Linked DNA regions of Alligator mississippiensis. The protein of the gene in region 1 interacts with the protein of each later gene in a pairwise test. Links are inferred from orthologs where the notes say so. Each region holds a gene or a part of one and is shown on either strand. Other genes may lie near its edges. The genes, in order: TNIK, TRIM2, ACTG1 and myomegalin.

The links.
Region 2: the proteins of TNIK (region 1) and TRIM2 interact in a two-hybrid assay, tested with the Homo sapiens proteins (2 studies listed by BioGRID and IntAct). The link is inferred for Alligator mississippiensis from reciprocal best matches to the Homo sapiens genes TNIK and TRIM2.
Region 3: the proteins of TNIK (region 1) and ACTG1 interact in a two-hybrid assay, tested with the Homo sapiens proteins (2 studies listed by BioGRID and IntAct). The link is inferred for Alligator mississippiensis from reciprocal best matches to the Homo sapiens genes TNIK and ACTG1.
Region 4: the proteins of TNIK (region 1) and myomegalin interact in a two-hybrid assay, tested with the Homo sapiens proteins (2 studies listed by BioGRID and IntAct). The link is inferred for Alligator mississippiensis from reciprocal best matches to the Homo sapiens genes TNIK and PDE4DIP.

The regions. Positions count from the first base shown.
Region 1 is NC_081830.1:75,557,019-75,564,644, reverse strand, and holds the start of TNIK (TRAF2 and NCK-interacting protein kinase), read left to right. Parts: upstream 1-4,245; 5' UTR 4,246-4,333; coding exon 4,334-4,390; intron 4,391-7,626. UniProt on the Homo sapiens protein: Serine/threonine kinase that acts as an essential activator of the Wnt signaling pathway. Recruited to promoters of Wnt target genes and required to activate their expression. May act by phosphorylating TCF4/TCF7L2.
Region 2 is NC_081825.1:95,856,488-95,864,085, forward strand, and holds the start of TRIM2 (tripartite motif-containing protein 2), read right to left. Parts: upstream 3,510-7,598; 5' UTR 3,488-3,509; intron 1-3,487. UniProt on the Homo sapiens protein: UBE2D1-dependent E3 ubiquitin-protein ligase that mediates the ubiquitination of NEFL and of phosphorylated BCL2L11. Plays a neuroprotective function. May play a role in neuronal rapid ischemic tolerance.
Region 3 is NC_081831.1:1,811,383-1,820,098, reverse strand, and holds ACTG1 (actin, cytoplasmic 2), read left to right. Parts: upstream 1-5,245; 5' UTR 5,246-5,328; intron 5,329-5,956; 5' UTR 5,957-5,966; coding exon 5,967-6,089; intron 6,090-6,182; coding exon 6,183-6,422; intron 6,423-6,776; coding exon 6,777-7,215; intron 7,216-7,349; coding exon 7,350-7,531; intron 7,532-7,647; coding exon 7,648-7,791; 3' UTR 7,792-8,644; downstream 8,645-8,716. UniProt on the Homo sapiens protein: Actins are highly conserved proteins that are involved in various types of cell motility and are ubiquitously expressed in all eukaryotic cells.
Region 4 is NC_081828.1:43,503,458-43,511,111, forward strand, and holds the start of myomegalin, read left to right. Parts: upstream 1-4,279; 5' UTR 4,280-4,456; coding exon 4,457-5,599; intron 5,600-7,654. UniProt on the Homo sapiens protein: Functions as an anchor sequestering components of the cAMP-dependent pathway to Golgi and/or centrosomes.

The DNA.
Region 1 (7,626 bases):
ATAAAGGCAGTAGGGGCAGGTGGCAGGTAACCAGGCAGGCAGTGGATAAGCAAGTAGGGGGTAGGTTTCTGGTAGGAAAGGCAATGAGGGCAGGCATTGTGGTGTGGGTCAAGCAGCTTGGCCCCTGCCCCTTGCATACCTGGTCCTCTGTTGCTTGGCTCTCCATCACTTGCTCGCCAGACTGTATCCCATTTCCTCTGCTTCCCACAGCCTCTGTGCCCATACCTGCCCCCTTCTACAGCCTTGGACCCCCTACCCCTCTTTCCCTGCTCTCTCCCCCTGCAACCTCTACCCCCACCCCCCCAATCCACTTCTCCTCAGCTGCTTATCCTTGCTTCGCTCCAGGAGACCTGGTGCATGGAGCACAGCTCTATTCACACCTGGTAGCAATGGTGGTAGTGTGGTAACTCTGGACCCAGCTCCAGCTGGAGCTGCTAACTGGACTAGACTGGGGCTGAGCTTCTTGTGCCAGGCTGGAATGGGGCCAGAATCTGCTGGAGCAGAGCAAGGGTATGCAGTGGAATTGGGGTAGGTAGGCAAGTAGAGGAGGTGGGGGAGTAAAGCTGGTGGGTGACAGGTGGTAGCTGTTGGGCTGGAGTCAGACGCACAGCAGCTGCCTGCCCCCAAACTGGCACAGACTTGAATCCAACTTGAGACCTTTTTTCCCCATGTAAAATGGGGGATAAAACCTCATTTTGGGCTTGACCAAATACAATAATTCTTTATGAAAACATGAAACCTTTCGGTGATACACAGGGCTTCAAATGGAGTTACCTCATCGATATATGGCCTAGCAAGCACTTAGGTGCTTCCATCAAGCAGATGAGAGAAATAATGGAATTACTTTTGACAGAGGTACATATAACAAAACTTGGATCTTGTCTGTTAGAGGCAGGTTGTGGTTAATGGCATCTATCTGGTTGTGAAGAGACTTGTCTAGATGGCTACAAAAAGCCCGTTTTAACTTCTTGCTCCCTGTTGGAGACCCCTTAGACAAGTTTTGGCACTACTGCTGGGAATGAGAGTTGTTCTAGCCAGAGACTTCAAGGTCATCCTCCCAGCAAGGTAACACCCACAGTTTTTGCTTCGGGCTGCATGCGGACTCAGTAATAAAGGGTATCAGGGAACATTCAAACATTTTTCTTTATAATCATTGGGGCTAGGTTTGGTAATAATGCATAGTTAGCTTTGAACATGGCATGGAGGAACTCATGTGATAAGCAAATAAGGCTCATGCAGAAATCCTGCACTGCAGCCTCTCAGTATTGGTTTGGATACCATAGTTTTGCAAAAATTAGAAACGGTAAACAACAACACATTGACAAGAGGATCTATATGTGAGAGTAAAGCACCCAGATTGTCCTCCAGCTACTTTGCAAATCTCCAGTGAAAGCTCACATTGGCGTAAGAGGGGATAGCAATCCAAAAGTGATGATGAATCAATTAAAATGCATTTGCGAAGATCAATAGATGCGGGTTGGACACAAGTAGCCATTAATTTCTGAGTATCTTCTAACACAGCTGCAGCAGTAATCATGTTAGCTTGAAATCCAATTATTATGCATTTAATAGAGTATTAATATTTAAACACACTTTAGTGTGTTTAGGCAGTGCCTTTTAACTGCTGTATCCATGTAAAAGCACTGGTCCCTAGCCTCAGCTGGAGTAAATCAGCTGGAAATCAGTAGCAAAATGCCACTTTACACCAGCTGTAATTGTGAGCTAATGGACATAGAAACAGGTGAACCAAGTATGTGGGGAAAGAGGAGCACTGGACAACACAGTCACATGTCCACTATGGTGCATCACACAGCCAAAGGGGAGTCCACTCAGTGTCATCAGAGATGTAATCCTTCTGTGGCTAAGCAATAGGACTGAACAGGGGCCCTAAATTTGAAGAAATACACCATAAAGGGAAAGTGTAGTTTAATGTTGCACTGACCCATCTTAGGTCCAGTTACTGAACTAAAATTCTCCAGTTCAGATCAGCCTGACTTTAAATTAATTTTTGTGAGTAGATTTTTATGGACAGAAAATAATAATAATAAAAACCCAAAATGGTAAAATCAAAATTCTCCCTTGAAAAAATGAAATTTTGTAGAAACTTCCTTTTCCATTGAAAATATCATTCCTTACTATCCTGACTAGTTTATGCTTCCATTTCTACCAGGAAGGTCTGTGCAGCATAGAGACAACACCCAGAAATTTGAAGATTATAACATAGTCACATATCCTTACCCATACACTAATGGTGAAGTAATTTTTGTAAATCAGCCTTATTGACACACGTTTACTGGACCAGGAACTGCCATTTTTGCATACTGAAGTACTTTGAAGCAATTGGAATTTTTTACTCCATTGCCCCTATAACCTACTATAATGTACTATATTTATGACATTACTGATATATATATCTATATATAGATATATAGATATATATATATATCTATATATAGATATATATACTGTCTTCAAGGACTAATTAAAGGCCCCAAATGAAGTAACTCCTATCCTGGGCACTTCATATGGATGTAGAGATCCATGATAATCTGTCCATTTGTAAGACTGGGGCCTATCATTTTAAAAGAAAGAAATCTCTCATTTCCACACCTGTTTTTACAAATGACACCTTCCTTGCCTTTTAAATGGAAAAGCTATTAGAAAAACACATTCTCACTTTCTGCTCAGCTTATTCTTTTTCATTCCCCACCCCCTTGAAAAAATTATAGCAGCACTGCCGCAGTCACATTTCTTTGTCACTAGCTTCTAGCTACTTTTGCTTTCAGGTCTATATGTATTATCACAATATTGCAATGTCTGGGTTGCAACCGCTGCAGACAACATTTGTACATCAAAGCGTTCCAGTCCATTGTTAAAAAAAAAATGAGAGAGAGACTTGGAAATAATTTGCTTGCTCCTTGCTTGTATTTAAGTGTTTATTCAAGACTGTAGAATGTAAAATTCAAGATTTCGGGCAAATATAATCTTTCGAATGTCAGGAAGTTTTAATTGCTCTACCACATATTAATGCCTCTGGATTTGTTATACTGAAGACAGTGATGTGTTTGTCACCCTGCATCACCTCATGCTTTCCATCCACTTCTGCATGTTTCATTTACCTGCAATACTTAGTCACCTGGAAAAAATACCTTCTGCCTTGTACGTGGAATTTTGTATGGGGCAATGCTGCAACTTCCACTATTGTATAATGGTGCTGTTGCTCCATTTCTCACCATGTATCAGGAACTCGGTGATCAGCACTCTTAATAATAAGGTTCAGCTCCAGATCTTTGAACCTACCTCCTGGCAGGCTTAGTTAGCATGTGCAGATAGCCATGGTACTTTGAACACAGGGCATACGGCAGAGTTGGGCAATGAACTCCCTCTAGTTCTGCAACTGGTTTAAGACAGCCTGTTGCTGATGAGGAAATGTCAGCAGCTTGACTCTGTTTTGCAAGGCCAGTCTCTTCTGCAGCCTGCTTCTACCAAATTGCTCAGATAATAAATGTGCTGTGTCTCAGACTACCAGCTTTTTATGAAAAAGTTGCAGCAGTCAAGTGGCCCTATCGACTGTAGGATTATTTGCAATTAAAAAAAAAGAGCATCTCAATCCATGCATACAAAAAAATCCTGCCTCTCTCTGCAGGAGACAAGTGTGTTAGGGTTATGTTTCTACTTCTCCACTCTGCGTGTTGCGAGATCCCGTCACACACCTGCGAGATCGGATAACGGACCCCACTGTGCTCCCCCTGAAGCGAGAAATGGTATCAGGAAGACCAGACCCGGTGCTTGAGAGACCGCTCCTGAATAAGGAATAACAAATGAGGACAAAGAGAAAACCGGGTCCCCTGGAAACGGAGGGATGCTTCTTCCCAAACCCAACACCTGTGTGCGCTGCTCCTCTACCAAAGCAGCCCAAATCCAGATTGCAAGACCGTGCCGAGCCAGGGCAATCCTAGATGTAGCTCTTAGAGGATCAACTCCTGGTTGGACTTCCCACCCCCTAATTCCCCAGCCTGGCCGGAGACCGACGGCCGGCCCCGCTCTGCGTCCTCATGCCCCTAGTGCCAGCGCCCGCGCCCGCAGCCCGGCAGGGCAGGGGCAAGTCAAGCCTCGCTTCTCCGCGGGGGGAGGGGAGAAGGGGGCGGGGCGCGCTGCACTTGTTCCCGGGGCCGGGCAGGGAGGCCCCGCCCCCTCCTGTTTAGCACCGCCCCCTCCACCCCCCCACTCCGGAGCGGCGGCGGCGCGTGCGCGTGTGCGGGCGGGCGGCCGTGGAGAGGAGGCGGCGGCAGCGGCGGCGGAGGTCCCGCGGCGCCCGGCGAGCTGAGGCAACATGGCGAGCGACTCCCCGGCTCGCAGCCTGGACGAGATCGATCTCTCCGCCCTGCGGGTGAGTGCTCGCCCCCGGCCCGCGGGTCCTCTGCCTTCCTGGGGTGGGGGGTGAGGTGGATGATGGTGTGAGGTGAACGGTGTGTGTAAGACAAGTAGTGATGGGTGTGTGCGCGTGGGGGGCGGTGTGCACAGGACTGATGCTCCCGCAGGAGGGGAAGGAGACGGGGCTGCGATGTCCCCGGGGTGCAGTGGCGGGGGGTGTCTTCAGCAGGACGGTCTCCGGGGGGTGCGCCTGGGTCTTCAGGGGGAAGCGCGAGGCCCCCCAGCCCCATGGCTGCTGCAGCCCGGGTGCGGCATGGCTGTGGCATAGAGGTGCCCCCTTGGAGCAGCGGTGGCTGCCGTGCTCCTTTCGTCGATGCAGCGCTGTGCTCCGCGCATCCATCCCCCTTGGGTGCCTGCTCTTCAGTTGCCTTTGCACAGGCTCAGGCTGAGCTGTCTTTTTGTCGGTTTTTTTTTTTGTTCCCCCCGCCCTAGCTCAGGGGCATCTGGAGAGCGCCCTCTTTGCCCTTCCAATGCAAGTGGGTTTGTCTTTTGTTTGTTTTTTCCCCCTCTACCTGAGGGAGCCCTGCGTTGAAAACAAAAACCCGTAGCGCAGAGAGGATGTGGCTCTTTTTGTCCTCGGATGCAGCGTCTCTTTACAGTAGCAGCTCCCCCGCCGGTCTGCTTGCGCTTCCCTGCCGACTGCCTTGGCCGCCGTGGGGCCAGAGGGGTTGAGTCCATCTTGATGTGATTTTTATTTTTTTGCTGTGAAATTTGGACATTGCAAGCTGGGGATGTTTGCCCCCATTTCTGCCGCCCCCCAATCACCACCATCTTCAGTCCTTTCCAGGGAATGGGCATATGCCTCCTTGCCCTTTTCATCAGGCATCACCCTGCCTCCTCAGGCTTGGTTTAAGCATATATGCTTAATAGCGATGCACGTGTGTGTGACTACACACTACACATGTACTGAATCTAGGAACACTGATGTGGGTTGGTTCACACCCTGTGGAGCACATTGTTGCACACTGATGCTGAGCCCCGGAGTATTTTGTTTTCTTGCCTCTTCATTTGCTGTCATCAGCCAGCCTTGCTCTTTTCTCCCACGCTTCTTCTAAGTAAGACTCTTATTTGTATTTACAATAAACCAGAAATGTATATGGTACATCAAAGATGGCAGCCAGTGTTTTTGTATTGTGATGTGTCTCTTTCTCCCCCTGTTTCTATAATTCCCTCCCCCCCACCTTTTTCATCTATTGCTGGTTTCGGCTATCCACTACTGGAGTCCTTTAGGGGAGTAGTGTTTAATCTGGACGTGGCTGCTGAAACGTTGTCTGAAGGAGCCTTCCTTTATTACAGCAAGACTGCGTACACCTTGCTGGTACAGGTGTTTAAGAAAAATAAAATCAAGTGATGCCCACTGAAGACTTCCAAGACTGTTGTGTGGTTTTGTTTTGTTTTGTTTTGTTTGTTGGGGTTTTTTTGTTTTGTTTTGTTTTTTTACAAATAATGTTTGCTTCAAGGCAAACCCAAAAAGATGCCCGTCTTATTCACATGCCCTACTTTTCTTTCTGCTTAGTTCCTGGCTCATTAATAGTGTAAACCAGTGGTTTTCAACCTAGACCCCCGGGGGGTCTGCAGACTATGGTCACAGTCATCTTTTGCAGACCCCTTAGACAATCAAAAAGTATATGAATACATAGACTTACCATTCAAGGGGGTCTGCACCTCTATTCAGAAATTTTTAGGGATCTGCACATGAAGAGAGGTTGAAAACCACTGGTGTAAACAATTGCTCCACAGTTGCAGGTGTGGACAGGATGAGGAATATGGAGGTCCTTCATGTTTAAAAACAAACATTCAATTCTAGTTCACCTCCCCTGCCTCAGTATCTCAGGAGAAATGTCAGTCAATGGAATTAATAGCCCTATAAAGCAAACATCTTGGAGCATCAGCCCCTACATGTTGGATTTTGTTTTGGGAACAGCAGCAGTTGAATTTTCTTAATGCCCGTAACAACCAGTCTTAAAATAACATCCCTGCTTTTTGTTTTTAAGGTATCTGTGTTCATGCAGATGGAGCTTTTTATTATTATTTATTTTTTCTCCATGGACTATACCCAAAGCAAGTCTGAATTGTCTGTCAGTGCAAATACAAATTAGAAATCCTCGACTGTAACTGCATTTGTTATGATTCCCCCATGTGCTTCTTTATCGTGGAACCCTAGGCTTGGAAAGATCTTGGTGGTCATTTAATGCAGGATGTGTTTATTCCTAAACCATCCAGGACCAATGCCTTTCCAGCCTCTTTTTTTTTTTTTTTTAAGTCTCCCATGAAGGAGATTCCACATGTTATCCAGGGAGCTTGTCCTAGCTGTGCCCCATGCCCCTAAAAGTAGTCTTATGAACTGGATCAACCATGGGATCAAGTGGCCTTCTTTGCTGGTAGATATACCTCAACAGACGCTAGATGTTGTGTCCATTTTATGGTGTCAGTATTCAGTGGTGGGGGCAGGAGGACCGTGGAGAATACAAAACACGCTTTGTGTATCTTCGTGTACTAAACTGAAGGGAATTTGTTCAGAGCTCCCAAAACAGTGACAGATCATATTGGAGAGAGCCCCATTTGCATCTAGTACATCAGATAAATTGTTCAAGAGCTGTCGATCTTTGTAATCACTTGACCTTCTGTAATGCTTCAAGGTCAGCAGGGCTTTGGGTGGGCTGCCGCACTGACTTGCGGTAACCCCAGGCAGCTGTAGTCTAACTTTGTGCTCTTTACACCTGCGGGTCAGCGTTGGCTCACTTGGGCTTTCATGTCTCTTCTACACTGAAAATGGTAAACACTTCCTAGATAGAGACAAAGCCCTAAGAGGGAGAATCTCAACCACTGTATAACGTAAGTGGAAGAAACCTATTTATGGAACTTTCACTTAAACTATGCAACAGGTTGATTTACATGTGGGACAAGAGTAGGATCCTAATTTGTTGTGAAATAGCTCTTCTAAACTGAATGCATTTAGTACGTAGAATAATTGTTAAAGGTCAAATATTCAATGGATGCATTGAGCAGGGCACAGTCTTCCCCAGTGTTTGCATCAGAAATCAATAGTAAATTTGCTGCCTGAGCACAAAACAGGGCAGTACAGAGTAATTTCACAAGGGTCACAATCGCATTTGATTAGAAAATCAGGCAAGTGTCACACTGCTGCAGGTTTATATATACCTGGATGAAGGAGATATGGTTCTTAGATCT
Region 2 (7,598 bases), on another chromosome or scaffold:
TGTGGGTAGGAGGAAAGCAGTAGATATGATATACCTAAACACCAGTGAGGCTTTTGACACCATCTTCCATGACATTCTCATGAGTAAGCTAAGGAAACACAGGCTAAATGAAGTCACTGTGGAATGAGTACACAACTGATTGGATCTTCATGCTTAAGAAGTATTCATCAATGGCACAATATCTATTTGGGAGAAGGTTTTGATTGGGGTTCCTCAGAGGTCTTTCCTAGATCCAGTATGGCAGTTAATTAATATCTTCATCGATGACTTGAAGGATGAATCTGAGTTTATACTTCATAAATTTGCAGTTGGTACCAAGATGGGTGGGATAGCAGGCACTTTGTAGGATTAGAAGTTAAAATGAGCTTGCTTCTTTGGAGAAATAATCCCAAATACATTGGATAAAATTCAGTATGACCAAGTACAAAGTGCCACACTTAAGATGGAATAATCAAAGACTCACATACAAACTGGGGAACAGATGTTGGTGCTACAGTACTACAGAAAAGGACCAGGATGGTTACAGTGGACCACAGCAGAATAAGTTAACAGTGTGCTACTGTTGCAAAATTAAAGGGGACACAAGCAATTCTAAATTATGCTTGTGCCTTACCACCAGGAGCCTGGGCTAACATCCTATAACCCTTTAGACAGGCATTTTAGTGAATAAGTGCTGTGTAGGGAAATAAACCTGGCCAAGCTTTTTTGCCACTGAACTATCATGTGTGGTCTTTTGTTTGAAGTAATGTATAGACAACACCCTGACAGAGAGCTCATGCAAAAGAAGAACTACACTGATCATGTGAGAACACAGAGGAACAACATGGAGAACAACAAAAATGATTAGCAGTATAGAAAGTATGACACACAAGAAAGGTTAGAAGAAATAGTATTATTTAGGCTGGAGGAGATCATCTCCAGATATGTGAAGATTTGTTATAAAAATGGAGGATAATACTCTTGGCTGCATCCACATGTGTGTGGACATTTGGTTCCCTGGGGACAACTAACAGTGGCGCACTTTGTGGACATTGGAATGCCCATGTCATATGCCCTCTGGCACGCAGCAAGTTACGCTGTGTCAGGTAGGGGAGGCTGGGGCCAGCACTGGGCTGTCCCCAGCAGCCTTACGTGGGGTCCTGGGGACTTCCTGCGGCTGCAGCAGTGGAGATTCTGCCGTGTGGAGCCTGACCAGCAGCCAGAGCATGGGTTCAGCTAGCCAGGCTCTGGTTTTGAGTGATGCATGCTGTCCCTGTGTGTGCTGCTCCGCTTTTTCCCATGGGTTTTTTGATCCCTGGATATCCAGGGGTCAAACCCCTCCTCCCCGCCCCACAACCACCATCCTGCAGTGCAGAGAACAACTGAATGTGCAGTATGTAGCACCTCAGACATGGCCCTTATGTCCAAAAGGAACAGGACAAGAAGCAACAGTCTTAAATTGCAACATGAGGCAATTTCATTTGCGAAGCACCCGGCTCTGTGCAGCTCTGCGGCTCTGCAGGAAGCCCTGCAGGCAGCCTGGCAGCAGACTGGGAAAGCAGGCTCCGCCCAAGAAAAATGGTGAGCCTGATTTTTTTTGCCCCCTGGAGCCTGCCTGAGCTGAGCAGGGGCCTGGTGCTTCCCTCCACAGCTGCAGTGCCCCCAGGACCACCCGAGCCAGGTGCCTGTGGGTGGGTGCTGCCTGGGGGGAACCTGCCGATGCTGCAGAGGGAAGCACCAGCCCCCCCACAGCCCAGGGACCACTCCACCTGCCAGTAGCTTGCCCTCCCCTACCTGCCACCAGAGTGGCAGTTAAGTCAGCAGGGTGTGTGCGTGACACAGGGGTTTAATTGGCCCGTAATTGAAGCGGTGTTTTTAAAGACCCACTACTTCAATTTAGGGCCCCCGTTTCATCTACACATGCCCTCTGACCACAAACATTTTTTAATTCAAGACAGACACTTGGCACAGCTTGTTTAACAGGTCTGATCCCTCTTCGAGAAGGAGGTTAGACTAGATAACCTCTGGCATCTTGTCCAGCCCTATTTTCCTATGTTTCTATGATATGAACCTATATATATAGGTATAATACTTCACATCCATTTAACCCACTGGATTGCTAAATATTATCATGCCTGATTTATAAAAGTTGGACAGAGCAAGACAGAAAGGTTAAATGACTTTCCTAAAATCAGAGGGAGCCAGTTTCAGTATCCAGACACTAGCTCCTGGCTTTGAATCAAAGAGTTCCTGGCTTTGAATCAAATGCAGAGACTAGTTTTCAATTTATTTAAAACTGTGTTCGCAAACATAGTACGGACTTCATCCCCAAATTATTGTGTCACATAATTCCTGTATCAGAATCTATCTACAAGCTTCTTAAAATTTTGTTAATTCTAACCCCCAGGAGAGGGCTTCACAGTTAAAATCCTACAATTTTTATTAGAGCTCTATAATAATAAATCCTTATATTTGTCTCACAAATATTAGAAGACATGAAAAAACATTTCCAATTTCAGCTGAATGTTTTTTATACTATCCACTCCTTTTTTCTCATATCAGAATATCAAGTAAACTGATCAAACCCAAATTTCTGGCACTTATCAATCTCTGTTACTTTAATCTTTTTAAATCCTTTCCATTTAAATGAAATGCATGTGGAATCAAGTTGTTTTATGTCCACCTCTAAAGAAATCCACAGTACTCTATGCAATTGCATCTACAGAATAATCTAGATAAGATCAAAAGAAAAACGTTAGCCAGTGATTTCAGTGTGATTTGCTGGAATAGAAGGAAGATAATAGCATGCAAAGCAATTTAATTCTATCAAATTACAGAGTGGATTGCATTACATGATCTCATATACAATGAGTATTAATAGCAGAAAAATAGAATTCATCAGTAACCATTTTGACATTGTGGAGTTCTAGTAACATGGGAAAGGTGGAGAATAATAAACACCCCCGCCACCCCACTCATGCTTGGTTGTATCAGTGGTGCTGAGGATAATATGAAAAACCCCTTTCTGAGGTGCAGTACATCTCTTCCCCAAAATATCTAGCCATGTCTTTAATTATTTCCTGCCCCTTCTTGACACAGTTGCTTCCACAAGAAATATCTTGGGCAGTTCATGCACTCTTCTGAGTGCCGGGGCCATCTCTATGGCCATAACTATTAAATAAATTGTCTTTTTTTTTTTTCATACTATTTTGGGAAAGTAGCTAAGAAGGAAGTGGTGGGCCTGATTACAAGAATGTCCAGGTGGATATATTCATAAATGGTAAAGAGAAGATGCCAAGAATATCTTCACTTTGAACACAACAAGCTATCAGTTGGTGCCATGATCCAGTTGTTGCCCTGGGCTCGGGGAGACATCTTTCCTCCTCTTATTGCTTTCATCTATGAAACATAGGATTGCCCAGAGCACAAAAGTTATTACTACAGCTGACACTAACTGGCTGTCTTAGCACTTTCAAGGGGAGCCAACTACTAATTAAGAAGCAGTTACCTTTAGCTTTCCGGGTCCACTCAAGTCAGCGTTGATTCACGTTGCTGGAGCAATGTGAGGCAGCCTGCTGTGTTGTTTGTTCCCTACAAACTCTGAGATATAATAGAGGGCTTCAGACTCCAGGGATAGCAAGACTATACTTTCCACAAGCCCTAAAGTTATTCTGAACATTTTTAATTCTCTGAACACAAGGAAATAAGTCAAATGCACAAACCAAAATTGTCCACAGAGAAAACTAGATTCCAATATGCCTAACATATTCAGCTAGTTAGACCTCTTTATGGCCTAACCTCAAATTTAGAATGAATAAAATTATTTTCTGCGAGAGTAAGGGTTTCATGTAGAATGGAAATGATGAAAGCTCTTATTCAAAACACTCACTACTAATCTTTTCCAGAACTCAAGTCCAAATCAGCTATTTCATCAGATTACTTACAATTTAAGAACCACACGGCAAATCAAGCCTGAAAAAATAAATCCTACAGAAAGCTCAAAACCAGCAGAAAACATTTTATATTAGGACAAAGATTGTCAGGTGTGTGTGTTACACTTAACTTCTGTTTCTAGTTTTGTAGAATCCCTTTTCTTCTACTGTGAGTAGGAGAAAAAGAGTCTTCCCTAATTCACCAGTTCTTTTTCCTGAAAGCAGCATGACTTACCCTACACACAGTCCCAGGCAAAGTGTTGGTATAATTATTCATAGAATCAAAGTAGGACAGGAGGGGACCTCATGGGATCATCTAGTCCAACCTCCTGCTCAAGGCAGATCACCCCTAGTGATCCTGGTGCCCTAACCAAGTGCTCCTAACTCAAACAAGAATCCTACTGAACATCAGCCTCTCTCATGTGCCTAGGGATGGAAATGCAATTTATGGATGCTGTGGAGGAAAGTGAGAATTCAGGCCTGATATATCAGCTGGGATGCTAGCACCATTGTTGCCTTTGTAGATTATAGGCCTAGAGATTTCGACATACGTGAAACTAGAGGGATAGCATGAAAATTCCTAAAAGTGACGGACTCTCAGCTTAGTCAAATAGCTGGTCAGAGCCCCCAAAGACAGTTCAAAAGCTTTCTTTGGGTTCTCAGGCTACTTTCTACTTAGTAATCTACCCATCTGCTCATTTGTTCCAACAGATCAATACTTTCCTATATACACACCAAAACAAGAGGCAGTTTATGTCATGATTGTTATAAAGATTTAACAACCCTCTGGATTTCCATGGTCTCTTCACTCCAGCTGATTTTGAGGTCAACTCTTCCACCTTATTGATCACTCTACTTTTAACCATCTCAGCTGGCTCTCTTTGATGTTCAGATGCCATCGATTCCATTGGCTGCTTCAAGAACATTTGAAATATAGGACACTATGTGCAGTAGCCTTGTAGTACAGGACTCTAAGATCCTTAGTCTTATTTCTATGCAGATTAACAATATCATTTCTATGGGACTTAATGTTCATAGCATTGCCCTATATTATACGCAGAGGGTATGTCTACACATGCAATTAATGTGAACAGATGCATCCACACATGTGCCCTCATCAGGAGCAAATTTCACCTGACAGGAGTAGTGCAGTCCAGGACTTCTCCTGACCTTCTCTGCCCCTCTGCAGCAGCCAAGGCGGGTTCCAGGCTCCCCTGGGTGCCAGCTCTGGGGCTGGCAGGGGCCACAGGGGCTGATCCTGATTCCTACATGGCCAGAACAGTCATTCCCGATGCTGCCTGCCTGCCATGTGGAGATTGGTATCCCCATATGGCTGGCAGGCAGCATCCCTGCTGAGTGGAGACAGCTCTCCCACCCATGTGAGAATTGTGTCCTGACCTCATCTCCACGTGGCTGGGATGCAGCAGTGCTGGCTTCCAGAAAAGCTCTCCTGGCCATGTGAGGATTGGGATGGGTCCTGATCTCAATGTGGCAGGGAGACAGCTGCCCCTGCAGCTGGCACAGCTCACCCTGGATCAGGGCTTAATCAGGCAGCAGTGGGCCCCTGTTGCCTGAGCTGACTGGAAGCAAATTGCTCCCAGTCAACATCTACACATGCGTTACTGCACAGTAGCTAATTCACAATTTATCTAGTACCTGTATGTTCTGGTACTAGCAAACAGCACATTAGCCTATTTTACTGTGCAGTAAGTCTCATGCATGTCTAGATGATGACACTCGACTGAGCATTAGATTAGTCTAATGCACAGTAATGCGTCTTGTGTAGATGCACCCAAATGGCATAAACAATCCATCAATGCAGTTGGGCTAACACTTTCTCAGATCAAACATGTCTATACTCTGTGCTGTTGGTAACCTTACAAAGCTAGGAATAATTAGGTGCTTCATGATTCAATTTAGTCAAAGAATATCATAAAAGTCCTGTGCAAAAATTAGTTTCAGGTACCTCTAAAATCAATATTATGCCCAAATAAGCAGAAACATGCAACTGGAAATAAAAAGGTGCACTGTAAATTAAATAGAATATCGGTATATACAGCTGATAATAAATGTGAACAAAGTAATTAGTAGTACCTTTCTTAGTGCATTTTATTTTGGTTTATGATCTTGTAAAATTAAATGAGATAAAAGGAGCCCAGAATTAACATATTTTCCAAGTAACGGCTTATTCTAAAACTATGTCCAAGCAGTAAATCCACTAGTGATTTTCTTTTTCTAATTAACTAAATTTTGGATATGACTTTCACACATAATATGGTCATCATCTTTTTGATACAAGTTGAGTTACACCTTGCTATAAAATAATTTGAGATGCACATTTTAGAAGAGAGCTCCAAGTACAATTTTCATAGTAGCTGCAAACTTTTCTGAAAGCATTAGAGATGCATGAGAAGGATATTTCCATTTCATGATCTCTCAAACCCTGAACACCTCATTAAGTTCTTCCACATACATGTTCACTTTGACACCAGCTGGTTCAGTAGCTGCACTAGGGATAATTAAGCTTGACCATTATGATTTGAAGAAAAGTACTGCTCATGAGAAAAAAGCATGATCATAAGCAGTCCATGAGAAAAGGAGGATTATGGTAATCTCACCTACTTATTGGCACTCTCCATCTTTTGTTGCAATGTTCCTTCCTGTATCATGCAACTGACAGATTCGCCATAATTGCTCTCCAAGGCTGGGATTGCTGCAATAGAAATTATACTACCATCTTTTGACTGGAAGAAGAACTACACCTTTAGAGAGATTCCATTTCTGTTCTAAGTCAAAGCAAAAACTCACCCTTAAATATAAAGACATAAAATAACTACTCTGTTCTTTATCCCCATGGTCTTTTACAGAAGCCAATGTGGTTTAAGCATACCCAAACAATTAGTAATTATTCCTGGATGATCATAGTTTACACAGGAATACATCAGTACTTCTTATATTGCAGTAACAATATACCCACATCATATAGCCCTAATGCATTAGAAATAGCTCCCCTATTAAGTTATGTCCAGGAATTCCCCTTAATGCTGCTTGCTTTGTTACATTAGGAGTGGCTTTCTGGAACAGCGCTCTGTTACATACCCTTTCTTTAAATGTAAGAATTACATACCAATGTGTTACACAGCCTTTTCCAGGAAAAATGTCTGTTCATTATAAGAGGTTTGTAGAGGGGCTGGATAGATCAGCGATTTAATAATACTGTATGCCACTTCACTTGCAAATGACCAGCTCAAATCCATCCCAAGTCAATAGTGATAGGAATTATTATCTTCTGAGGTTTTTAATGATCTGCTTACATAAAATGATTTGATGGCCTCGGTTCAGTTCCTAATGGGCAACTGTCAGGTAGAATTATATAGTATCTATTCTTATTGGAAGTCTCAGCACGGAGCATTGGAGCACTCTGTAAGAATTTCTCCCCTTTTAAGCTTAAGTGGGATCCCCCCTGAAACAAGGCTGAAACCTATTAGAAAATTTAATAAACAGAGGGCCTCACAGGTTGTTCATCCAATCTTCTGTGAACACTATATTCATTTATAACATTATATGGCAGCCATGCTAAAACTGCCAAAATGTTTGACCAGTCCAACATTAACATTTTTATGCAGTTACCAAGGGAAGTCATAGATACAGAGCAGATAAACCCACTGCAAGTCACTGAAACTAGGC
Region 3 (8,716 bases), on another chromosome or scaffold:
CATGGGCTGGGATGGGGGTCCTGCCGCACCCGTCCATGCCTCAGTTTCCCTTTCTCACCCAAGCAGCTGCTGCATTTGTGCAGCGCCTGACACGAGGGCCCTGATTTGCTTCGGGGGGTCCCAGCCTCACGGGCACTTTGCAAAGGGGGTCGGGGTGCAGGTTGGCGGGTCGGGGGCTGGGGTTCCCGGGGGCCGCGGCAGCCGCGTGGGGTCCCAGCCGGCAGGTCCACGGGCGCAGGCCGGGGCTCTGATTTCTGGGGCGGGCGCGGGCGGCGCTCGGGTTTCAGGCCCCGTGGGGCCGGCTTTGTCCCTGGAAATAGGTCCCGGGGATTGGTTGCCTAATGATTTTTTCATGCTCGAGCTCTCCTTTTCTTCGGCCGTTCCACTTGCGGCCGCGCCGCCCCCACCCGCCCCGGGTGTAGGTTACCCGGCGCCGCGGCCCGGGCATCTCGTGACACTGGCTGTCGCTAAGCGAGCGCTGTAACGGATCCGGGCGCGCGGGGTCGGGTTCCGGGGGGGCCGCCGCGGTATCGGTGTCGTGCGGGCAGCCGCTATTTAACGGGGGGCGAACGACGGCCTGCCCACCAGCCTGCCGCGGCGGGCCAAGGCTGCTTGAGCCGGGGGGCAGGGGCAGGGCCGGGGGGGTCGTGTGTGGCTGCGGGGGAGGCTTTGAGAGGCCCAGGCTGGGCCTGAGCATCCCAGGGAGCGCAAAGAGTGTGCGTGTGTGCACATGCATGCGCATAGGCACTTGTGCATGCATGTGCCTGTGTATACATGTGCGTGCCTGCATGTGTGTGTGTGCATGCCTGTGCATATGTGTGTGCCTGTGTGGGTGCATGCCTGTGCATATGTGTGTGTGCATGCCTGCATGTGTGTGCATGTGTGCCTGCCTGTGTGCGCATGCATGCTTGTGCATGTCTGTGCATTTGTCTGCATGCCTGCATGTGCATGTGTGCGCACATGTGCATGCTGTGTGTGCGTGCATGTTTGTGCATGTCTGTGCATACGTGCGCATGCTTGCATGTGAGTGTGGGTGGGGATGTGTGTGTGCGCACACTTCCCCAGCCTAGGCCAGGGATGCCAGCTCCCCTGCCCTGCCTGCCGAGCTAGTCTCCAGCACTGTCGAGGGGGGATCGATGCCTGTCCCCAGCCCACAGGGGCAGGTCTGTCCCTGCCCCCACCCATGGCCAGGGCTCCTGTGGGGCAGGCTGGGCGCCACGGCTGTTCCAGGCAGCAGCTGGGCCCTGCACGCACGGCGGGTGAAGCCCACAGGGCAGGAGGTGAACCGAGTCCCGGGCTGCTGGCGGAGGCTGAGAACGGAAAAACTCATCTCAGGCCACTGGCCTGGGAGATTCCCTCCCAAACTGTCCCTGCCCTTGTCCCTGGGGGCCCAGGCTGCAGGCGGGCCGGCCCAGGTTGCACACACCTGCTGGCACAACACGGGCACGGCGCCGGGCACCGACACGGACACGCCTGCGGCACGGGACAGGCCACGGCACCGGTCCAGGGGCCCCCCTGGTGGACGCAGCAAGGAACTGCCGTGCCCGGCCCCAGGCTGGCCGGAGCGGAGGAGGTCCCCCATGCGGGCTCCTTGCCCCGGTGCATGGTGCATGTTTGGGGGCTCCCCTCCTGGCGCTGGCCAGGCCCAGCTGGGCACCGCTTGCAGCCAGACTCTGTGGAAACCAGTGCACCCAGTCCCATCTGGGTGCCTAGCTGGTCGTACTGATGGAGGGAACTGGTCCCACTGCCGGGGGGGCCGTGTGGCTGGATCTCAGCCATGCAGAGGGGCCCGATCCAGGCATGAAGCCAGAGCAAGTTCCCTGCCGTCAGTGCGCCCCGTCGGGGTCCTGCCGGCGCCTCCGGTGCCCAGCACCCGCTCTCACCAGTACAGACCAGCCTAGCGCCAGTGCTGATGGGTGTCACCTTCCAGACCCCCCCGCAAGGAAGCAACCTGCTGTTTCTTGGCACTCCCCAGCCCAGAGCTGGTGCCCCAAAGCGGGCAGAGCTGGGGGGGTTCTTGTAGCCGCGGCCCCGCATGGGGCAGGAGCTGCCCTGGTGCGGCAGCATCGAGGCCGGGGTGTTGCTGCCCCCATGCAAGTGCTGGGAGGGCCCGTGGGTGCTGCCCACGTGGCTGCAGCGAGGTGGGGGGCAGCAGGTCTGGGGCTCGTCGTGCATCCAAGGGGCTGGGGGGCTCAGGGAGGCTTCCTGCCCCCAGGCTGTGGAGGGGCTCCGTGCCCACCCGTGCTGCACCAGGGCGGCCCCCATGCCCCAGTTCTCCCCGTTCCCAGGGCAGGGCAGGGCGCCCCTCCCCTCCTGCTTGCCCCCCCAGGTCACTGTGTCCACAGGGGTGCAGAGGAGAGGCAGGGCCACGTGGCACCCCTGTGTGCAAGCTCTGGGTTCACCCCCATGCACAAGCTGTGCCCGCACGCCCTGTGTGCCCCCGCCCGGCTCCCGGCTTCGGGGAGCCAAAGTCCAGCCCCGGCACTGCCCCGGCTGTTCGCCGCGGGGCGGGAGCCGGGGCAGGTTTCGGAGCGGGCGGGCACGGCTGGGCCCGAGATCACCAAATATAGGCATGCACTGCTCCCGCCGGCCCACCTGGCCGGCTCCACCTGCTCCCTCCCCGTCACGCCATGCCTGGTCGTGACACATCCCGGGTGCGGCTGGTACGACTGCCTCCCCGTGCCCTGGGGCGGGGGGGCGGGGGGGAGGCAGAGCCGTGCCCCCCAGGCTCTGCCCCCACCCACGCTCCAGCCCCTCCGGGAGACAATGTCACCCAGCCTGGGGGGGCTCTGCTGGCACTGCCGGAGGGAACCACGCTGGAGCCCCATGAACCTGCACTTGACCTTGCCACCTGGCCGGGCCCTGGGGCGATGGCGCGCGGGGACCGTGGGCGTGGGAACCCGCCTGGCTTGCTCGCGCCCCGAACGTCAGAGCCCTGCAGGGAGCCCGCCCGTGGCCCAAGGGGCCTTTCCCTGGGGGAGGGGTAGAGGCAAGACCCTGCAGCACCCCCGCCCCGCCGGGTACGTGGCACGGAGCCGGTCACCCACGGCTGAATGCCCGTGTCCTCCTCGAGAACCGGGAAACACCGGGAGAAACCCACCTCGGGGGCAGCAGGGCATCCTCCCCGGGTGGACCAGATCCCCATGCCTGGATATGGGGGCCGGCGCGGAGGGTGGCTCCAGAGCCAGCCCAGCCGGAGGAGCCAGGGGCTGGGGGTACCCGGGCCTGGCTCCGCATAACCTGGCCCTCTCCCTTGCCTCCCCCAGCGTAGGATGGACTTCCCCTGGGATTAGTCATCCACGCCGGGATCCTGCCTTGCTCCGGCATTGGCTGGGCTGGGATTTGCTTCCTAGTTTGGGCATCGGGAGAAGCCCGGTCCGGGGACGAGTCACCTGGAACCCCGGGGCTTGTGCAGGCCGGGCCCCCCCATGATGAGCGATGCCCGTTTCCTCTGCCTGGGTGATGAACCCGCTCCTGCCCCCGGGCATCGGGCACCCTTAGTCGGGGAAGGGGGGGCCCAGCTCCTGCTCCTCCTAGCCTTCCCCCGCAGCTCCCCGGGGCCCGGCCGTGGCCCAGCCCCTCGGCCCCGCAATGAAAGACCTCATCTGGGCAGAAACTTCCCGCTCCGCCTCCCCAGCTGCCTGCAGCCCCGGTGCCAGGAAACGCACCCGCCGGTTCCTCCTCCCGGGCCTGCCGGGAGGGGGGCAGGGTTTTTTTGCTGCTTAAAGATGAGCTGATCCGGGCCTGGCTCCCCCGCTCGCTGCCGCGGCGCACAGTCACCGCTGCCTTCGCTCATGGGCTTTGACGTCAGGGAGCAAATGTTTCCTGCTCGGCAGCGAGAACAGGGATGGGCGCTGGGCTGGACCGAAAGCCCTGCCGGGGCCTGGTCCCTTCCCCCAAAGCGGGGCTTGAAGCCAGAGGTGCAACGCCCTAGGGCAGATGTGGCCTGCTGCGTCCAGCTGTGCTGGGGGCAGGTGGACGCCCTCCCTCTCCCGCTGCTTCCCGGTAGCCCGGGGCCAGCGCCCCCGGCCCATCGCACCGGGTCGAGATGCCCCAAACACGGCTCGTAAGCGCCACGGAGGTGCCGGGGCTAGTCCTGGGGTGCGCGTCCCCCGAGCGAGTGCTGGCCCCTGGGCAGGCCTCACTGGCATGTAGGCCCCGAACTCCTGCTGCTGTCCAGGGGACTTAGGAGCCCCGTTGAGCACCGAGCCTGGTGATGCGGCATCGTGCACCCCAATGGCCTGGGCTGCCCCGAGCTGGCCGCGTCCGGGGAGACTCGTGCATTCAGCCTCTGGTCGCAGCTAATGACAGGGGAGGTCTCTCCATGCTGACCCCACGTGCTTGTGGTGGCCTGAGTAAACCCGCCCATCCCAGCGTTTGCCTTCCTGGAAAGAGTCGGTGCCCCAGGACAACCGGGTGGCCCGTTCCACCGTCCCTGCCCGGAGCCCCGTGAAAGCTGCCATGGGACTCAGACACCCACGGCGCTTGCGTGGCAGCGGGCCATGGAGCGGTGCAATCACACAAGGGCCGTGGCACTTGGGTCATGGCGCTGGTGCCATGGGGCCTCATGCTTGGTGGTGCTGGGCACGGGGTGCCATGGGAGTGGGGTGCAGCGTGGTCCCAGGCACCGTGGGCCCGGAGATGCAGCACGGGCCCAGATGCTCCACGCCCAGGGTGCAGGACGGGCCCAAATGCCCCATGTCCGGGGTGCTGCATGGCCCAGGTGCCCCACGCCCGGGGTGTCACATGGCCACATAGCCCAGGGGTGCTGCATGGGCCAGATGCCCCATGCCTGGGGCGTCACACGACCCAGGTGCCCCACGCCCCGGTTGCCCTGTGGCCCAGGTGCCCCATGCCTGGGGTGTCACACGGCCTAGGTGCCCCATGCCTGGGGTGTCACATGGCCCAAGTGCCCCATGCCTGGGGTGCTGCATGGCCCAGGTGCTCCACACCCGGGTGCCCCATGGCCCAGGTGCCCCATGCCCGGGGTGCCCCGTGGACCAGGTGCCCCATGCCCGGGGTGCCCCGTGGCCCCCAGGAGCCGGGAGCAGGTTCCGGGGCGGCAGCTTGGTTCATGCAGGTTCCGGGGCGGCAGAGGCGGGGCCGAGCCCACCAGCCGCCCCACGTGGCCGGGGCCGCGCCAGCCAATGGGCGCGCGTGTTCCTGAAAGATCTCCATATATGGCGATGTCTCGGCCGGCGAGGCGGGGCCCGAGCCCGCCGGGTATAAAAGGGCGGGGCGGGCGAACAGACGGTCTCACTCAGCCGGCGGCAGCGGACCTAGCAGCAGCGCTTCCCCCCCGCACCGAGACCAGCCTCCTCCGCACAGGTACAGGGCTCCTCCCGCCGCGGGCCGCTCGCCTGCCTCTCGCCCCTCTTCTCGTAATGGCGCGGAAGGGGCTCATCCCCCTAGGCGGCCGTTGCCGCGCTCTATAGCGAGGGGAGGGGAAAAAATGGTTCGGTCCACCTGACCCCCAACCGCCCGCCGTTGGAATGGGCGCGACCGGCTTTTCTTTCACCCCCGCGTGTTGGGAATGGTTTCGTCCACCCGGGCGATTTGAATGATGCCAGGGGCGGGGGCGTGATTGGCTGGACCGGCGGGTGACGTCACGCCGCGGGAGATTCGAAGGGAGGGGAGCGGCGCGGCGCGCGGGCGCCCCCTGCGGGCAGGAGAGAGGGAAGCTGCGAGGAGCCGGGCTCCGGGGGAGATGCTGCACCCCGGGGTGCTGCAGGGGGGTGGGGGGGCTGTAGTGCTGCCCCCTCCCTGCAAGCTGCAGCAGCGCCTGCTGGAGCACCCCCCCACCACTCTTTTTTCTTAATGCATTTTAAAAAACGCAATGCAATGCATGATGGGGGGTGGAGCCCTGAGCTGGGTGGGGTGCTGCGGGGACTGAATCCTGCTTGGCAAGGGGCCTGCTCAGCACCGCTGACCACAGGTCTCCTCATCTTCCTCCCAGATCCTCCGCAATGGAAGAAGAAATCGCAGCGCTCGTCATCGACAATGGCTCCGGGATGTGCAAAGCTGGCTTTGCAGGAGACGACGCTCCTCGGGCCGTGTTCCCCTCCATCGTGGGGCGCCCCAGGCACCAGGTCAGTTGGGCGGAGACCAGCCCCGAGCGGCGCCGCGGAGCCGGTCCAGAGCCGCGGCCCTAACCTCGCCCCTCCCGTGTTTGTCTCTTAAAGGGCGTCATGGTCGGCATGGGTCAGAAGGACAGCTACGTGGGCGACGAGGCCCAGAGCAAGAGAGGCATCCTGACCCTGAAGTACCCCATCGAGCACGGCATCGTCACCAACTGGGACGACATGGAGAAGATCTGGCACCACACCTTCTACAACGAGCTGCGCGTGGCCCCGGAGGAGCACCCCGTGCTGCTCACAGAAGCCCCCCTGAACCCCAAGGCCAACAGGGAGAAGATGACACAGGTAGGGGCTCCCCACGGGAGCAGCCGTCGGCGCCTCCATCCCTTGCGCAGCACAAGCCCTCTTCAATTTTATGGCATCTCCTTAAACTCGCCTTTTTCTTTCCCTGTTCCAGGGTTCTGTTCTCCTCCTGGCATTTCCTTCCTGAAGTCTCAGGTTTCTTTTTATTTGTGTATTTTCTGCCTGCGTTCTTTGCCTTTTTTTTCTTTTTTTTTTTTTTTCCCCTCCCCTTTTCTCCACACATCCCACTCTTGCATGCCAGCATGATGTGTGATCTAATTTGGATTTGAGTGAACCAGCTTGGGATGAGGCTTCTTGTCACTGAAACCACGGTTTTCTTTCCCTTCCCCCTCATAGATCATGTTTGAGACCTTCAACACCCCAGCCATGTACGTTGCTATCCAGGCCGTGCTGTCCCTGTACGCCTCTGGTCGTACCACTGGTATTGTTATGGACTCTGGGGATGGTGTCACCCACACTGTGCCCATCTACGAGGGCTACGCTCTGCCCCACGCCATCCTGCGTCTGGACTTGGCTGGCCGGGACCTGACAGACTACCTCATGAAGATCCTGACAGAAAGAGGCTACAGCTTCACCACCACGGCCGAGAGGGAAATTGTGCGTGACATCAAGGAGAAGCTGTGCTACGTTGCCCTGGACTTCGAACAGGAGATGGCTACAGCTGCTTCCTCCTCCTCCCTGGAGAAGAGCTACGAGCTGCCTGATGGGCAGGTGATCACCATCGGCAATGAGCGGTTCAGGTGTCCAGAGGCCCTCTTCCAGCCATCCTTCCTAGGTAGGTGTCTACCAAGCACGTGCCTGGAACGTGTCAGTGCCAGGGGTCATGGGTCTGAGTGCAGGGGGCAGGGGCTGGCGGCGCAAGGCTTGAGTGGCCAGCTGTGTGCTGACCTGGCAACCTCTCTTCTCCAGGTATGGAGTCGTGTGGCATTCACGAGACCACTTTCAACTCCATCATGAAGTGTGACGTAGACATCCGAAAGGACCTGTATGCCAACACAGTATTGTCCGGTGGTACCACCATGTACCCTGGCATCGCCGACAGAATGCAGAAGGAAATCACAGCCCTGGCACCCAGCACAATGAAAATCAAGGTAGGTGCAGCCTCCGGGGCACGAGCAAACCCTCTCTCGGATGCCCAGGGACTTGGGAGGGGAGGTGGCCTCCAAAGCTCTGGCTCTGCGGCTGACTTGTCTTTGTTGCCTTGCAGATCATTGCTCCCCCTGAGCGCAAATACTCTGTCTGGATCGGCGGCTCCATCCTGGCCTCCCTCTCCACCTTCCAGCAGATGTGGATCAGCAAGCAGGAGTACGATGAGTCCGGCCCCTCCATTGTCCACCGCAAATGCTTCTAAATGGACTGCGAGCAGATGCCCAGCATCTGCTGCATGAGTATTTTTTTCACTAGTATATGTTTGCCCAGGCAAATCTATACACCTCATGCTAGCCTCCTAAAACTGGAATAAGCCTTCTTTCAAAGAAACTTGCCCTTGGAAAGTCTGTATCTGATGTTAGACACACGTCAGCACTGTTGGATTGTCAAGCTGTCGCTGATTTGACCTTGTATTCAAGTTCCTTGTTCCCTTGGTGTACACTCTCTAGCAAAATACCCTGTACACATCTGACCTAGACCCTGGTACAGGTGCAGTCACTAGTGTGACCCTGCTGCCAAGGTTAATTTGTGTTTGTGGAAGAGAATCTGCCAAGGAGCCTGTAGGGCTCCTGGCTTTGCTACTATTGATGAGTGACACTTGCCTGGAGCCTAAGCTCGTGGGCCGGAGACTAGATCTGTACAGGGTATTTGAGGTCAGACTCCAATCTGTAAAGCGCTGAGTATTCCAAGTTTTCATGTAGAGGCTGGTAGGAGTCCATCAAAGAGTTCACTTCTGTTGCTGCCGTTCTAGCAAGGTTGGAAAAACATATCACATCCAAGCCTTAGGAGCCCGTTTCCATCTTCCCACCCACCTGTATCCCAGCAAGACATCACACGGGGCTAAAAGTTAACTCGACTTGAGTTGCTGAAACTCTGCATTTACACCTGTAAATTTCTGCATCCCGTTTAATTTATGTAAGATTTTTTTTTGTACGTTGCCTTAATGTTCTCACATGACAGTAGAAAACCAAAACTTGTAAGTCATCCCAAGGTCGAGAATTGTAATGCCCGACAACACGTCATTGTAAGGAAAATAAAAGCGCTGCAGTAAATGACATGCGTGTGCTGTCCTTCCTGCTGTGCTGGCCCCTGCTGGGTGGGGGAGCCTGTGTCAGAGGGAGAAGCCT
Region 4 (7,654 bases), on another chromosome or scaffold:
ACTGGGCTCCTGAGCATGGCCAAGGCAGGAGCCCCACCTGTTCTTCCTGAATCAGCTCTTGCCGTGGAATCCTGGTGCCCCCTGTTGGTCCAACAGCCCATTCACCACAAGCAAAGGAGCTTGGTCAGGATGCCAGCACAGGCTGCCTTTAGCAGAGAGAAGCAGAGCTGTTTTGTGCCACACAGGTGATTCTTACCTCTTCACAGCAAGATTGCTCTGTATTAATCCTCTGGCATGTCTTTTTCCTAGCCTGACCATGCAGGTGGCTGGAGTTACAGGCAATGATGCACACTACAGAAAGTCTCATGATAGCAGCAGTTCTCTTGTCACAAGGGCCAGACTACAGGTGACATGTGAGTTCCACCCGGTTCATGGCCTGATACAATCACATTGGTTAAATCCTTGATTTCCTCAGTGGTGAGCTCTGGCTACACTGATAAATCTTGCTGAAGTCAGTAGACTTGCACCTCTCCTTGGTGTTTTAGGGTTGTTAGTTGTTCACTTCATAAATCTACTGGATACAAAAAATCATGGACTAAATATAGGCAGACAAGGTTCTTTGGGTAAATCTGATGTCTTTTATTAGACCAACTCAGATAAAATAATCTAAGAAAAATAAATAATATAATAAATCTAATTTGTAAAAAAATAATTTGCATTTGAGGCCAAATTAGCCAAAACTAATTCCACATCCAAGAATCCGGAACCATAAACGGCCCTACTACCAGCAAACATTCTCCACCCATACCTGGGGCCTCAGATGTTTCCAGATCCTTTGGTGGGTGTCCTACTTGCAGGTCCAAGCCCGGAGGCTTGGGGTTCAGATGCTGCCGAGTTTTGCTTGCCCTTAGCCATAAGCCCCTCGGAGTAAGCAAGGGATGAGTCTCCCATTTCCATAAACTGGGCTTAAAGCCACTACATCTCAGTGGGTACTGAACCACGCCAGAAGAGCAGTTGCCCTGTGGGGTGGTTCAGGAAAACTGCCTTCTTGGACACAGATGCATGGTATTTCACCTGCCAGGTTAAGAAGCCACTGCACTTATCCTGAGCCCTCAAGAGGCCTGCACTTGATCTGAGCCTTTAGTACTCTAAAAAAAATCTAATAAAAATAGTCTAATAAAAGATACTAGATTTACCCAAAGAACCTTGTCTGCCTATGTCCTTAAACCAACGTGGCTACAACCTATATACCCTTGGACTAAATATAGACATTGGATTTATGGCACGTTATAACTTGGCTAACATTTGATAACCCCAGGTAACCTGTCTTCATTTTACCAGCTACATTCTATCACCAGTTCAACATTCCCCCTTTCCTCCCTGCCCCAAGCTGTCTCCTACCTATTGTCTCCCATTCCCTCTGATCCTCACTGCCACGCATTTGCATTTTCACAGACCTGCATTTTGCATTTTGGCTTCTCTTCTGTAGGCTGTTCCTGTACCATAGAGAGACCTGTAGGCTCTCTCTATGCCTGAAGAAGGGTGTTTGTGCCCAAAAGCTTGCAAAGAACAATTTTTCCAACTACCTAGTTAGCCAAATAAAAGATATCACATTTACCCAAAGAACCTTGTATCCTAGGTGTTACATTTGAAGGATTTTCCCTGTAAGCAAATGAGCCAAAATGTTTTCCTTCCTGAAGGACGCTGGAGCACAGTGATGTGCCTGCAGTACTCCAGCAAGACACAAACCCAACAGCTTCCAAACAGCTGGACAGTTCTGCCTTCTAGAAACAGGAAACGACAAAGCCCTGTAATTGCAGGCCCTCTTCCCGGCTGCAGTGAAGAATAATGCCACCCTCCCCCCCCCCCCCCCCCCCGGCCTGTCATTGCAGAATGAGTGTCTAGGCTCTGAAGCAGAGAAGCTATAATTTGGGCAGCTGGCTGGCTTCCAAATCTATAGCTTTTAAGCTTTCTGAACGACATAGTACAGGACGGTCTCCAGGGGGGCTTCCATCTGCTCCAACCCATTATCCCACTTCCTGGGGAACGGTAGCCAATTGAAACAGTTCTGCCTGCTCAGCAGGTATAGCAGGCTTCTCTTCCACCCTTCCCCCCACCCTCCTGCTCTCTGCACACAAAGGGTTGGAAGATTTCAACCCTTTCTCAGATTTCTTTCTCTTCCCGGTCTGCATGTCTGAGGTTTTAGATGGTTTCCGGGTTGTTGCTCTGCTGTTCATTTTTTGTCATCTAGTTTGTAATAAATTGTTTCACAAAAAAACCCCAGACTTCAGTGCTTCTCAGAGCCACCTTCTTCCCCCACCCTCTTAAAATTATCCACTCCCATGAGACCTACAAAATACTTGGTGGTGGCTCTGCACCTGGCATGCTGTGATTGCTGTGTTTCTTGTGCCTGCCTGCCTGTTTGCTGTATCCACCAGATTTTGGAAGCTCCATAGAGCAGGCACCATTTCTGTTACATTGGTACAGCACATTGCTGGGCAGTTAATGGACAGTTAACATTAACTGGTCTCTGGCAGTATGTATCATCAGAAGGACTAGAGTTTGTATGGACTGTGGTTATTGAACAAGCCCTTTCTCTTTTGGATAGGGGCGGTTTCTCCAGAATTAGGGTACATTAGTGAAGGATGATTTGATGGATGCTTATGTTGCAGAGGTAAGGGAGGGACGACTTATTTCTCTGGGGTAAAACAGGCTTATTTCACCACCAGTGGCAATTTCACTAAAAAGCTGAGTTTTGACCTGCCTACCTGGATGATGATTTCTGCATTAAACTTTTCTGTACCTGTTAGGTAGAAAATGAATCCTGATGCTGTGAGTCTTAGTTTGTGGCTGGTGACACAAGAAGCTGGTTGGTAAAAGGCACCATTTGGGTGCCAGGAGGCACTGAGTAGACTGGCTACCACTGGGCTTTACATAGCAATAGGTAGAACTGGTACAGCTTTGTGGGCAAGTGGCAGTGAGAAGATTGATTGGTACATGGAGTGGGTGAAGCTCAATATCGCATGGCATTGGATGGCATGCGTCAACGGGTTGCTGTGAGGTGGGGCCAGGAGCAGGTGGACCCTCAGTGGCAGGAGGCTCTGTGCAGGTAGAGCATTATGTGGCTCCGGGCGGTGTTCAGTGCTGAGTAGCGTGAGGAGCCCTTTGGCAAGCATGGCTGGGTGACTGAGAGAAGTCAGGGTACATTTGCACCTAACAGACTAACAAAGTCAGTGATGCATCGCCTTTTGTAAGTAGTGGCTGACTTCATCAGATGTTGGGAAGGGACTGCAGGAAGCAGAGCTTCCAACTAGAAAGCAGCTGTTGGCATACAAAGGGGAGGGGAGAGGAAACCCAATAGGAGGGGGCACTGCTGGCAGAGGCAAGCTGATGCATCTCTGATGTAGTAGTCTACAAGGTGCATCTCTACCTTGCCTTTTGCCTGACTTCAGATTAACACGGCTAGTTACCTCCCTCTGCTCATGGGTGATTGGGCCAGTGTGTGGGTGCTTAATGTTAGAACGGGTGGGGCGGCACTCGCCATCTCAGAGGCCTGAGTGCTTGTTGTTGTCAGGGGCCTGGCATCAGCAGGAGGCAGGGAGAGAGGCGCAGTGCCCCTGTCCTGGAAGAGCAGGCACCTCTGGCGGGAGGCAGCATAGGGCCCAGTATCAAATACACCAGGGTGGCACTGGGAGCAGGTAGCGAGCGCAGGGGCTTGTGCACGGGGCTGGGGGTGCAGGGCACATCCCTGGCTGTGGCTGGCACTGCCTGGGTACACAGAGAGTAACCCTGGATCACGATCCTGGCTCCCTAAGGGCCCTCCACAGGCCCCGGCCCCTGGAGGTGCGGGACGAGCAAAGCTGCCTCCACCCCTGGGGCTGTGCCAGCTGCCAGCATCAGCTACTCCCTTGCCAGCAGTGCAGCTCCTTCTGCGCATGCGGAGGAGGCGCGGAGGCCAGGGCAAAAACTGCTGCTCCCAGAATGCCGCTGGGAGGACGCATGCGCCGTGCAGCCGGCGACGCCATCTTGCAATCTGAGCCGCAATCGGGCAGCCTCAGTGGCAGCGGTAGCGGCTGCGGCAGCAGCGCTCTCCTCCTCCTCCTCCTCCTCCTCCGCGCCTGGGTCGGGGCGGCGGCGCCCGGGCCGCGTCTCCCCGCGGGGCTCGGCCGGGGCGGCAGCCTCCTGCTCTGAGCCGGGCGGGGGCAGATCGGGGGTCCCCGGGGCGGGGCCCGGGTGGTTTGGGGGCGGGGCCAAAGGGGTGGGGGCGGGGCTAGGGGGGCTGGCAAGAGGGGGTGTCTGGCCAGGCGGGGCATGGGGGAGCCCGTGTAGCCGTGGCCCAGGGGGGTGCATGGGGCTGGGGTGGCTGCGCATTGCCTGAGCCAGGGGAGCCCCTGGGGTCAGGCCTGGGGGATCCCCACTCCCAGGCCTTGCGGAGGCGCTGAGGGAGCAGTCGGGGCTGGAGAGCGTCTGCGCGCAGGTCTGGGCTGCAGCCGGGGGCCAGGCGCCGGCGAGGAGGATGCGGGACGCCTGCCGCATCTGCGCCCGGGAGCTGTGCGGCAATCAGAGGCGCTGGATCTTCCACCCGGCCTCCAAGCTCAACCTGCAGGTGCTGCTGTCCCACGTGCTGGGCAAGGAGCTGTGCCGCGATGGCAAGGCCGAGTTCGCCTGCAGCAAGTGCGCCTTCATGCTGGACCGCGTCTACCGCTTCGACACGGTCATCGCCCGCATCGAGGCGCTCTCCATCGAGCGCCTGCAGAAACTGCTGCTGGAGAAGGACCGCCTAAAGTTCTGCATTGCCAGCCTGTACCGGAGGAACAACGGCGAAGAGCTGAGCCCTGATGACAAAGTGGGGGATGGCACTGTGGACCTCTCGAGCCTGCCCGATGTCCGATACGCGGCCCTTCTGCAGGAGGACTTTGTCTATTCCGGGTTCGAGTGCTGGACGGAGCACGAGGAGCAGGCCTCAGAGTCACACAGCTGCCACGCTTCGGAGAGCGGGGCTAGCCGGCCCAGGCGATGCCGGGGCTGTGCTGCTCTGCGCGTTGCGGATTCTGACTACGAAGCCATTTGTAAAATCCCGCGAAAGGTGGCCAGGAGCATCTCTTGTGGGCCTTCTAGCAGGTGGTCTGCAAGCGTGTGCAATGAAGAGCCACCCATAGGCGAGCTTGGAGCCACTGAATCACCCAATGCCAAAGTACCTGCGGATGGAGACAGCATGGAGGAAGGGACTCCCGGGTCCTCCATTGAATCCTTGGACACCACTGTGGAGGTCGGCTCTTTGCAGCAGAAGGAGGAGGAAATGGACAAAGGTGGAAAAGGCAGTGGGAAGTGCGACTGTTGCTCCGATGATCGCACCACTCTAAACTCTTCATTAAATAGTAATAGGTTGGAGCTAGCTCTTAGCCTGATCAAAACCTGTGACTACAAGCCTGTTCAGAGTCCCAAAGGCAGTAGGTTACCTGTTCTAGTGAAATCCAAGCCCAGCCACGACACGATGGATGGAAGTCCTCATGCTGGTTTGGTGACGACTGGTTCTGGATTCCTGAACGCAGATGTGAAGTCCTTTTCCCGACCTCCTCTGGGCTTTCCCTTGGAGATGTCAGACCTGCAGGAGTTGTGGGAAGATCTCTGTGAGGAATATATGCCACTTCAGGTTCAGGTACAGGTTGATGAACAACACTGCAATTTAACAGAGGTCCTGCCATCTTGGCTGAGAGTCCAATCTGGATTCAGGTGTGCTGGGATAATACAGATAGCCAGTCCTATCTGAGCAAAAGGCTAGGAATGGGTAGCTAGGCCCTCCAACCGCTCTCCTTATACACACCTCGTCCCTGTTCTCTGACATTTCCATGGTATTCTTTTCCTGGTGTGTTTGAGAAATGAGCCCTCCATAGGTTTCTAGCATCTTGCCTCTTAAGTTTCCCTGAATCAAGGATACCAGCAAGGTTTGGCTGATATTTCCCCTTTTGTTTCTTGTTTCCAGCCAAGCAAACACCAGTTTAATTTCTCCTCATTACTTTCTAGGGAGTAAGTTTTGAATCTGTTAGTTTAAAGGGTGTAGTTTAAGCTGCCAAATGCTTCTTTAATAGCAGTTCAGTTTTTATTTGGCCTTTGTAAGTTATAAAGTTATAATTTGTAACTGATCTGTTCTGGAGTGGTAGGAACTGCTTTTTTTGCAGGCAGAGCTCCAAAATCGAATGCTCTTTGTCTCTCCCCAGTTTTCCCGATTTGCTCAGCCCTCAGGAATACCGTTATGCTGTTGGCAGTGAGGGTGTTGTCTTTGCAGATAGATTTGCTCCATTGGGTGACTTAAAGCTAGCATTCTTGGTAACTGATCCTTTAAAAAAGATTTAACAATCAGTAGCAGTCACTGCTGAGAGCCTGTGAGCTTTTGCAGGAATTTCAAACATTTTAACCATCTGCATAGATTCCAGGTAACATTTACCTCTGGATTTTGACTGCTTTTTTGCCTGGCTTTAAAATTCTTGCTAATATATGATCACAGGCCTGCACCTGTATTTCTTTTTTCACTTCTCTTACCACCCATTAAAGTCTTATGTCAGCTTTAATTCAGCAATATTTATGTCAGTCTAATTGTCTTGGCATTAGCAGGTTTAGTGCTGTCTAATTTTCCAGGTAGCCTCAGGGATTAGAAAGATACTTGTTTACTACAGAAGCAACTGTAGCTCTATTGGGTGATTGTTCTCCTTATGCAGTGAGTTGTGCTCATTCTTTTCCAAGCTCTGGCATTTTCCAGGGGTGTGTACTTTTTCCACAACAGCTTTTAGCATGAAAACGTGCTACGGAGGAAGCCAGACTGACGGAAGCTGACAAATTCCAAAGCATAGTCTGATGATCCATTTGTCACCGGTAATTGAAGATTTGCTGACACTACCTAGGGAACCTTAAAAAGTGAAGGGAAAATGCCATCATCTCTGTGTACCTTGTTGCCTGTTTTTTACCATTACAGACTGATATACCAAAATAGGGTCTTTCTTAACGCACAGGTTTTCCACCATTAGTTCGTATGGTGATTACATGACATTTCAGTTGTATCACGCATCTTAGCATCTTCATTGCGTCTCAGAATTACTTACAAAGGGTTTCTTCAAACCCCAGCCTCTGTCATGTGTTTGTCTTTCTGGTGAATCTTACGCTGAGTTTTTCATTTCCTGTTTCTTACCATGGCAACAAACCCAACACAGAATGATGTCTTCAGTGCTAAATCTGGCATAAATCGAAAGCACTCATTCCACTTTAACAGAAGGATTGGAGAGTCAGAGTTGCCAGTAAATAGGTCTCATATAAATCCCAGGCCTTGGCCTCACCTCTGTCCTTATTGCGTAATGAAATGAGAGAGACTTTAATTTTATAAACATTCTTAATTCAGAAGGTGAAGAAAAATTGTTTTTTGACTCCTTTGCACCAGCTAAGTTCTAGAAAACAGTTACAGTTTTCCCCACAAATGTTCCTTGTCCGTGCACAAACCCACCAGGCAAGGTGATTCTCTTCATACAGCTGAAATGCTGATGGCTGTCCATGGTATCTGTGCAGAAGGCCTGTTCTATTTACTTATAACATAATATTGCTCTTGCCTAACCTCTCAAGCCAGCAATGATTCCTGCCTTTCCTGAGAGCTAGATCCAAACCAAGTTTCATAGGTCGGTCACAGTAAAGTGTATTGCATCTTTATTTTAGGGCTTTCTATAGCAGG